Caenorhabditis elegans: one gene and its partner. The protein of the gene in region 1 purifies or fractionates together with the protein of each later gene. This does not show direct contact. Each region holds a gene or a part of one and is shown in the gene's direction. Other genes may lie near its edges. The genes, in order: abu-13 and mrpl-39.

Region 1 (6,621 bases):
TTTTTGGAACCTAGATGCTTATAAATTTACTTTTGTCGAGTCGAATTTTAACGTTTATCTTGGGTTGAATAAAGTTTCAACTTCCCAGAAAATGGAGTTTATATTATTTTCAAGGGGATAGCTTTAGTAGGAAATTTTGAAAATTTAAAAATAAAAACTCACTTTCTTGCACAAATGGGTCAATGTCTTGCTGGCAACCATATCATCCATGGTCTTCGTGTATGCATAAATCAAATCACAGAGAGCCGAAGTGAGACGTTGAGCTCCAAGAATCTCTATTCCGCTTCGATTAATTTGTGTAACTGTCGAATAGGAGAGTATCTAGAAACGAAATATTTTTGAATAAACACTATGTAAAGAAAGCTTCAAAACTCCAAAAAAAAAGCGCTTACAGTGTGAAAAAGACTAAGGGCAGCGTCTTCTTCAAGAAACTTTTTCGCCGGTGCTTCGATTTGACAGAAATTGAATGCAGAGAGAATGATATTGGCTGCATGATTTGGCAATGATGGTGATGAACGACCACAAATGACTACGAGACGCTGAAAAATAGCTTTTTCCTCCCAAAATTTTAGTTTTCATTCGATTATCCTACCTGAATCATGAACGAGTGAGGTTTCACACGATGAATACTGCTATGAGCAAGAAGATTGTCGATATAAGCACAAGAGCAACTATTCAACACGAATCCCATCGGCATTTTCGACAAAAGCGTGATGGTGCCTGCAAATTTTTCAAAGATTTCAACAACATTGTGAAATTTATAAAACAGCTTCAATAAATAATTTCCCTTCATTAAAAAAAATCATAAATCGTTTCTTGAAGAACAAATTACATATTTTTATATTAGCTTAAAAAATACTCACCTTTTTTGGAGATAGGTCTCTCCAAATTCTCTCGATTCCGAATCATATGATTTTCCTCCACACGAAAAACGGGGGCCAACCCTGAAGTTGAATGCATTTTCAACAACGAATGGGGCGAAAAATGAGGAAAAAACGAATTAAAAAGTTTGAAAACTTAAAACTCGCGCTAATTTTTGTGAAGCGCATTTTTTAAAGATCAAATAAAACTATGTGAAGAAACAGTTAAAAATATTGAAAGATTGGCGCCGTGCCAAGATCCGTTCCGTTTTAATTCTAGTTTGTAAACGACACTCCGAAATTCCGAGGCGCGTGTTGTTTAGTGTACAGCAGAATGGAGGATCGACAGCTGCAGCTGTGAGAAAATGAGCACCGATCCATGAAATGTGTCGAAAGTTATAAAAAAAATGTGCACCATAAATTTTATAACTTTATAGCAGTTGACCAAATCACAATCATACAAAAAACATGCGCATGTACTTCGAAAATGTTGAAAAATATCCGTTTTTAAGAAATTGTAATTTTTCCTGTGAACGTTTTATTATATTTCAATTTTGCTTCTTGGTTACCGTATTTTTGTGGCCACATTCTCAAAATTATTCATCTGGGAATATAATATTTGGATGACATATGCTCTGTTTTGAGTACTCCATTTTTTTTAAATTAAAACATATTTGGGCGTGTCGAGACAGGGTACTGTGAATCGGCAAAATTTCGTATCTGTGTAATAGTTTAACTTTGAATTGTGGATTATCTGAAATACTGTCACATTTGAATGCCTCCCCTGACAACTAATTCCCGTTCGATAAAAAATAAAGTACAATCCCATAAATCGTTCATCAGATGTCACCACCCTGTCAAACTTCTCGCTGTTTCAATTTCTAAGGCAATCCGTACGCACGGATTTTCCTCTTTTCTCTCTCTTGTTGCTTACAAAAGAAAAGAAAAGAAAAGATAAAAATCGTGGTTGTAGGGAAAACGATGGGTGAAGAAGGAGGCGGTGTTGATGGTTCTGGACATGGAACATAAACGATCTCATGTCTGACGCTCTTCGTCTATTCATACTATTTTCGGATGACAAAGCTAAAAACCCGTTCCGCACCAGTTCTCTGCGTCTCTAAAACATCCAGATCTTCTATTCTTTTCTCCAGAATCGCAAGAAAAAGAAGAAGCTGAACCTCAAATCTCAGTTCTTCTTCGATTTCAAAATTCCAGTGATGTGGCTCCTGATAGCTCTTCTGCCCTCTGTGGCTCTAGCGCAGAACACCTTTCAAAACACTATTTTTGACCTACCAGCTCAGCTAGGTGGTGAGCCAGTTGGTGTCGCTGCTCAAGCTCAGGGAGCCCCACTTTTTGTGCAAACCGCTGATCAGAAGCCACCAGCAGTTGCCGCGCCACAGCTTCCAAATGCTGTTCCAGTAGCACCACAAGCTGCTGTCACACCAGCTCCATTCACCTTCCCAACTCTTCCAACAGTTGCTCCATTCACTCTTCCAAGCCATCCAACATTGGCTCCATTTACCCTTCCAACTCATGCTCCATTCACATTCCCAACTCATCCACCATTGGTCTTCCCACCACCAAGTACTCCAGCTCCATTTGTTCCACCAAGGTTTGTGATTGAAATGACATTCGTAAGCGAGTTGCGCATAAGAAATGGAAAATTGGAAATTGTTCAGTTTGATCTTTTACCGATCAACAAAATAGTTTTTACTATTATTTCAAATAAAAAAACTTCATTTCCAAAAGCGAGATTTCCCATTCTAGGCTATTATTGTACTATGAGTGGAAATTAGTTTCAGGTTTCACAACTCATAATATACTTGTTAGTTCATTTCAATTTTACTTGTTAGTTCATTTCACTTGTTAGTTCATTTATACTTGTTTGTTCATTTCAACATTTAAAATGCCCAGTTTTTAGCGTTATCTTCAAAATATTCAAAACATCTGGTTTCTGTAGAAAAGCAGTACAAACCAGTATGCTACCTGAAAACGAACAGAAACATCTACTGTATTTCTAATTATAATTATAACTATAGTTGTGCACACCTTTTTTTTATTTGGCAACTTATTTGAGAAGTTTTAATTAACCAAATGCCGACAACTGTATAGATTAAAAGGTCTTCATGAAATTTAACATATTTTGTTTCAGCCCATACGCATTTGTTCCACAACAAGGATACCAACAACAGAACAACTTCCAACAATATTATGGATATCCACAACAACAGCAACAAGGAAATCAATATTATAACAATAATAATAATAATAACGGATACTACAATCAGGTAAGCAATTTAAACCGTTTCAGGTTTCGGTCACTTGCAAAAATGTTCTTCTACTGGTTAAAAAAAATATATATAGAGTGGGATGTGTGACATCCGTTTTGACATATAACCCTTTTTATACCATTTTGATGCTGTTTGTCAATTGATGTGGCAAACGGCATCAACTGCATCTGAGACTTTGCTCTGTAACTCTGAAACCTTAATGCTTTCCTGAATATTATTGCTCAGGTGAAAAGTCAAAGGCCCATTCACTTGATATGATTGTCCAAATTTTTAATTGGTAACGCCCTGAAAAATTAAATTTCCTTACAATATAATATTAAAAAGGATGCCCACATCCTTGAATTGCCTCATGCCATTTTTCGAATCAGACTATTTTAAAAGCAAGTTATGACAATTGCAATAATTTTCAAAATTCCAAAACAAAAAACAAGATCATCCATGTTTATTGAAATAATAGTGATGTTATTCCATCCGCGATCTGATAAGGTGTCCAGTGAAATTGGTTTTTGGTGTGATATTATGCTGGCAAATGCCGTTAGCATCGGTGTCTCATCATGATCCACAAAACACGTCCTGGAAGTGAAGAAGACAGGATAATTGAACTGGATAAATGTAGAAAAAAAACCGACAGAAAGGAAAACAGATATACATTGATGAATAAAATGAATAGAATGTTGTAGGAAGAAGTAAACAACTAATTTTGTAGTTGTAGTGATGAATACGAGATATAGCAGTAGTTGACATACCCTAGGATACCATGTTCGAGTTTCTTTAACTATAGTTATAGTTTATCAGTTTTTGGCAAATTTCAATTGATTTTTTTCGATTTCTATGTTTTGGAAATTTTTTGGATTTTTTCCATTGGAATTTAATGACGTTTACTAAGTTTTCGCTACACATAATTTTGGAAGTTAACACAAAAAAAGGTTTCTTGAATGAATTTCATATTCTAATTATAAAACATTTATGCGACATTGCTCTAAATTAAAAAAAAAATCCTAATTAGTCCGTAAATTTGGCACTTTACCAAAACTTTAGTTTTGAAGAATCTGAAAAATTTTTTAAGTCTTATTAGTTCCAATTTTACTTTTACGTTAAAAATGTACAGGAGAGATTTTGAAAAAAAAAGTCTAAAAAATTTTAATTTCAGCAACAACAGCAGTTCAACGGATACAACAACAACTACAACAATAACAACAATCAGCAGCAACAGTTCTACAATAATAATAATAATAACTACAACAATAACAATTACAATAATAATAACAACTACAATCAGCAACCGCAAGGTGCTCAACAACCACAGCAACAAGTCCAACAACAAGTTCAACAGCCTCAGCAACCTGTCCAGCAACCTCAACCAACTCCAATTCGTCCACCACAGCCACAACGTTCCGGCCAACAGCCAGTGCAATCTTTCGAGTCACATACCCAAATCGTGCAACCAGTGAGAGCTGTTCAAGCTAATGCTCAACTTGTTCAGCCAGTCATTCGGCCAGCTGTAAGCTTTTTGTTTTCTTATGAAACTCACAAGTATGATATTTTTCAGGCCAGCGCAGTTGCCACCGCCGTAGTTGATACCGATTCATCTGCCAAGAAGGCCACAGAATTTAACAAAGCTAATGGAATTGAACAACCAAAGCCAGCTCATGCTGAAAAGGCTTCTCTTGATGCTGAGGTAAGGTTAATTTATTGTTTTCAATTAAAGTTCCTTGATTTTTGGTTTGGTTATCTTTAGTGTCATTAAAACATTGTCAGCTTTGCAGTGTAGTTTTACATTTGCGAAAGTTATTGGATTGAAGTATTTTTATTTAGACAGTTATGTTACTGAACTTGGCAAATATCAGCTCTAAATTCTCTAATTTTAAAGAAGCCCAAAAGTTCTGTAATTTCCAAATTAGATAAAGTTGCTTTAAATTTTCCGTAAATATTTTAAATGTTTAATACTTCAGGTGGATGCCAATGTTGACCGTCATTTGTGGTTCTCTGCGGATTATGATGTGAAGCGTAAGTTTTCAAAGTTTTCAGTGCAAAAGCCCCACTATTTTCTTTACAGAATGTCGCAAGGGACTCAACGGAATCGGAGTTAGATTCCAAAAGAAGTTCCCATCATATCTACAAAAGGGAGGAAAGGATAGAGAACTCGCCGAGCTCGTCGAGCAACGACTTTTGGAATGTGAGAGAAAATCATCGGCTTCTCACTGGGACAAGGTTGACACACTTTTGCAAAAGATTAGTTTGACAAACAGGTTGGTTTTCAGAACATATGTTGCTTTGAAAAATCTAGAAATCTCGAAATGTTTAGCCCAATTTTAAACTGAAAATATTTTAAAAGAAGTATTAACTTTTTCAGCGAAGAGGGAGAATGCCGTGCAGGACTTATTCAAGAGCGTATCTCATGTGTTAACCTTCTGAAATACGCGTGCCAATTCGTCGACTCTTCTTATCATTTCAAGCTTGTTCCAGCAAGAATTACTATTCAAGAAGCTCGTCAAGCTGAGAGTGGAGCTGAAAAGTGCAGACAAGTAATCAGAATTGTGAAGCAGCGCCTAGAGTCTGGAGCTGTAACTCTGTAAATGTGAGAAGTAAAATTGGAAAGATTATTGTGTAAATAGGCGCCTAATTTGAAATTTATTTATTTTTGGAATTTTGGTGTGCAATAAAAATAATAAATAATTTATTTATATTTTTGTCGGTTTAAAACAATTTTTTTAGCATTGAAAGCAAACTGTGCAAAAAGCGTTTTTGAAGAAAAATTGGAAAAGAAAATGTCTGAAAATTGACAGAGGCTTTCTAGAAATTCTCAGGTTCAGTAATTCTCTGAACTTGGGAAAATATCAGTTTTCATCGAGATATTCAAGGAATGATTCTGGCATCTCTTCGATTCGAGTCGAATAGTGATTTTCAATTTTCTTGAGATCACTAATATCGTTTTCTGTGAAAAAACTGATGGGAAGTCCTTTCGAACCAAAATTTCCTTGTCTTCCATTTCGTAACATGTAGTTCTCCATATTTCCAGATACATCGTAGTTGATAATGAGTGATTTCTAAAATTCATTTTTTAATTGAATTCACATTCATGATTTTTCAACTTGATCCAATTTACCAAGAAGGTGATTTTCCAGACGCAAAATGATTTATTGAAAGTGGAATTCAAAATTTTTTTTTTTATTGATACTGTTCAGAATAACTTTTCAATGGACTTCCTTTTCAAATAATTTATTAAACTGAATAGCTATTATACTATTTTTAAATTCTTTATTACAATATTTCGATGTTTTGCACTCACACGAATATTCATACCACGTGCCATAAGATCAGTGGTGACGAGTACACGAGTATTTCTCGAATTGAAATCTTTTACCATATCCTCGCGTTCATTGTGTTCCATATTTCCATGAAAACATGATACTTTTATTGGTATGGACATCAACTGCTCGGTGAGCTGGGTGACCCTTCTCCGAGTGTTA
Region 2 (3,848 bases), on another chromosome or scaffold:
ACTGCCGCAACTGGAGAAAATTCTCGTAAATCTTTTTTTTTAACTAGAAATTCAAAGTCAGGGGTCCTCCTGCAAACTTACGCTTGTCAGAATCATCGTCAACCATCACAACCTGCTCGATCAACTCTGGCGGGGATCTGAGCAGCACCGAATGCACAGTTCGGAGCAACGGAGTCCATCCCTCATTGTGGAACACAACAACCACTGAAACAGTCGGCAGCTTTTCTGGATAATCCCAATGCTTGCACTCTTCCGGCCTGATATCCGGAATAGTTCGATTCATCGAGATCATATCGGAGACGTAGGTATTGAAGCCGAACTCCTTCTCCGCTGCTCTTCCTGCCGCCATTCCTTCTTCATCGGTTACTGGCACAGGTTTTCCGTGCTCTCCGGGCTGATTTGATGGGATTTCCGGCTCTTTTGGCTCGTAGTTTCCTAGTTCTGAGCCACGGAAGATTGTATTAGGATCAGGACCACCGGGGAGCTCCTTATTTGTGAGATCGTCTAAATCATCAAATTGTTGAGCGGCACTGTCCGATTTGATAGATGACATGCTCTGAAATTCATTTTGTTTTTGAGTTTTGTTTCTATTCCCTGAAATGTGGACTACGCTCAGTGGGAAAATTGCTTTAAAACACGCCTATGGGGTCACAATAACCGAATATCATAGTAAAAAAATTCAAAAAAATTTTCTAGATTTTATATGATTTTTTGAAAATTGGAAAAATCTCAGTTTTCCACTTAATTCCTATTTGAATTTCCGCCATTATTTGTATTAATTTATTTTATTTTTTCTCATTATTTCACTGATTTTCTTTATTATTTGTGTATTTTTATCGGAAAAAGAGACAGAAATGCATATTTTCATTAAAAATCACTGAAAATGGGTAAAACTGAACCTGAAATTATCATATTTCACAGTTTTACGCATTTACAGTGACTTTTAATGAAAAATTTGCATGTATCTTGCATTTTTCTCACTTTTTCCAATAAAAATACACAAATAATGAAGAAAATCAGTGAAATAATGATAAAAAATGAAATTAATTAATTAAAATAATGCAAGCACGCTCCATAGAACGAATCCAATTGGCGGAAATTCAAATAGGAATTATTAGGGGGAAAATTGAGATTTTTCCAATTTTCAAAAAATCATATAAAATTTAGAGACTTTTTTTGAATTTTTTTTGGTCATTGTGACCCCAGAGGCATGTTTTACAGCAATTTCCCCATTAGGCGCACTCCAAAAAAACCTACATTTCCCTTGCTATTGTAGACAAATCCAAATAAAACTAAAACTCCCAGGCAAATATACGTAGCCACTCGGCATCCTCTGAAACAAAATTTATTAATTTTAAAGTAGAGAAAAACAAAACCTCACCTTTGCCTCCATAATCTCTGTAGTTGCAGCTTTTTCCGGGCGATTATCATGTCAGATCCGGTTGGTTTAATCAAGTTTTCGTTCTGAAACGCAAAAAATACGTTAAATTGACTTAAAAATTGAACATTTCGGTCAAAAAAGCACAAATTCGGTAGAAAAATCGTAGAAAAATCGTCAATGTGTTGGCAAATACCCGACTCCGCCCACATGCAAGGCGCGGCACGCGTTTTCGCAATCTGCGCACACACTTTGGTTTCCGGTGATTTTATTTTTATTTTTCTGATTTCTTTTTTTAATGGTTTTTTGCTTTAAATCACTTAAAAAAACATATTTTTCAGGTCAATAAAACATGAAACTACCTGTCAGAAGCCTGCTGGCAATCCGGAGCGCATCAACTGCTGTGGCATCGGCCGAAAGTATGAGAAAAGTTATTCAGGCTTTTTTTCTAGCTTCTATAGAAATAATTTTTAATTATTAAATGTATAAAATTGTTGAGAAGCATCCTACACATCGAAAATGTATCTGAACCGCCAGTTTTGCGATTTCTGTTTCGTAAAACATGTAATTTTGTGAGGAAAAGCTGTTTCTTGACAGAAATCGTTGATTTTACCCACTTTCTGATCGTTTGATGCTTTTAAATGATATTTTTCGTTTGAATTTGCGAAAAAATTGATAAAAAGCTGAAAAAGAGAAAATTTAAACGGTGTTCAATAATTATGGAGGCTGTGAGTTGCATTAAATACCCCAAATTTCTTGAAAATAATATTTATAACAAAGAAAAAAACGATAAAAAATGCTTATAAAATATTATTTTCAGACGCTGTCCCGGCTTCCGTTCCAGCAGCGACTCTTTCCTCCGAGTTCTTCGATCACATTCGCCATCAAGTGTACGGGGACTTGAAAAAAGTGGACAAAGTCGTGGTTTCAGTGAGAACTGAGGATAAGGCTCAGCCAGTTCTTGTGAATCGGAATGTGTCCACATCATTTCACTGTTTTAATCGTAAGAAAGCAGATTTTATGAATAAATAATTAATTTTCCCCAATTTCAGATATCTCCAAGCACTTCGCCGACGACGCCGTACTCGTGGAAGTTCATCCATCCGTTGGCGGCGCCTACTTCAGCAGCGTCAATCAACCACTTCAAGATCAAGCCGAGATTCGAAAAATTGGATTCGATTCTGCTGAGGACGTGAATTTAGTGAATGATGCCTACTGGAGATCTTGTTCGCTAGTTACTGCTGCATTCCTGAAAGAAGCTCTGGACGTGGACGTGGATTTCAGATTCCCACGTGGAAATATTGAAAATGGATATTTTTCGGTGGATGTGAAGGGATTGAATGGGAACGTTTTCACCTTGGTGAGCAGTTTTTTTTTTTGAAATAAAATTAATTAAAATTTTTAAAATTGATTTTCAGGACGAACTTAACACGATAAATCGATTCGGTAAATCGTACATCCGCGAAGAGAAGCAATTCGAGGTGATCGCAGTGCCAACGAGTGTAGCAGAAGCATCAGGAATCCACGGCGATCATCTAGTACGAATCGGTCGCCAAGTGTTCTCCACAGATGGCCCATGCATCAATTCGACTCGTCAAATCGGCCGCTTCACGATTTTCCGATCAAAATCATCTGGCAAGAGTGTGATCGTCGGCGGAGTGTCGATTCCCATGAAACAGCCGACTTCATCATACTCCTGGAGCCTCGTCGCCAAGAATGCAGTGCAGAAATTTAGTAAAAATGCATGAGAATTGAAATTCAATAGTTTTTTATAGCTAGTTTCTGATTGTTGTTTTTCTTTTTTGTTACTTTTTTCTGTTCATTAAAAGAACAAAAATTATAAAGCTCTAAATAATTTATTAAGTATGTACAAAAACAAAAAAATAATCTAACACAGTGCCCTTTCAGAGACTAATTATCCATTCTTCAAGAAATTATTCAAAAATCCCTGCGCCACCTCCCCGGTAATCAAATTGTTCAGCTGTCCCAACACAGCTGCAGGCGACTGATCCATCATTCCAGACACTTCTTCGCATCTCTTCATGGCTCTCTGCAATTGTGTTCCGATTTCCAAGCTTGCCATCACATCACACGTGGCAACGGCTTCTCGCAGCGAATCACACTGTTGCCGTTCTGCACCACGTCGGCACGTCTCCTGGGATGCTTTCAGCAAATCGATTTCTCCGTGAAGAATTGCTCGTCGAAGTTCTTCACCCCACGCGTCGAACGTCTTCTCGTCGGCTTGATCCTGGCATTTTCCATACGCGATTTGCATGAATTCCGATATAAATGGAAGGCAGCCTTTGCCACGTGGCAGGCCAAAGTTACTATCCGTATTTGGCATAAAATCTCGGATTCCGATCTGCGGGAGTGGCTCCGCTTTGCCTCCCTCAGTTGGGGTCCCGGTGCCGGTGCCAACTTGAAGGAATCGACGGGCGATTTGCATGAATGGGCTGCCGTCGAAAGCGTT

What was found.
Region 2: the proteins of abu-13 (region 1) and mrpl-39 fractionate together in Caenorhabditis elegans (co-fractionation; one large-scale study listed by BioGRID). This does not show direct contact.

What each region holds. Positions count from the first base shown.
Region 1 is NC_003281.10:6,941,104-6,947,724, reverse strand, and holds abu-13 (Activated in Blocked Unfolded protein response), read left to right. Parts: upstream 1-1,826; 5' UTR 1,827-2,077; coding exon 2,078-2,472; intron 2,473-3,012; coding exon 3,013-3,148; intron 3,149-3,182; exon of another isoform or gene 3,183-3,332; intron 3,333-4,301; coding exon 4,302-4,652; intron 4,653-4,700; coding exon 4,701-4,829; intron 4,830-5,103; coding exon 5,104-5,158; intron 5,159-5,207; coding exon 5,208-5,400; intron 5,401-5,504; coding exon 5,505-5,727; 3' UTR 5,728-5,837; downstream 5,838-6,621. Other genes in the region: CCR4-NOT transcription complex subunit let-711, read right to left, coding at 163-321, 393-539, 593-720, 864-960; F57B9.3 (RNA helicase), read right to left, coding at 5,989-6,198, 6,441-6,621.
Region 2 is NC_003283.11:1,819,860-1,823,707, forward strand, and holds mrpl-39 (Mitochondrial Ribosomal Protein, Large), read left to right. Parts: upstream 1-1,719; 5' UTR 1,720-1,730; coding exon 1,731-1,797; intron 1,798-2,197; exon of another isoform or gene 2,198-2,198; coding exon 2,199-2,381; intron 2,382-2,430; coding exon 2,431-2,738; intron 2,739-2,796; coding exon 2,797-3,126; 3' UTR 3,127-3,236; downstream 3,237-3,848. Other genes in the region: gly-7 (putative N-acetylgalactosaminyltransferase 7), read right to left, coding at 82-556, 1,258-1,333, 1,382-1,431; Y32G9B.1 (DUF148 domain-containing protein), read right to left, coding at 3,294-3,848.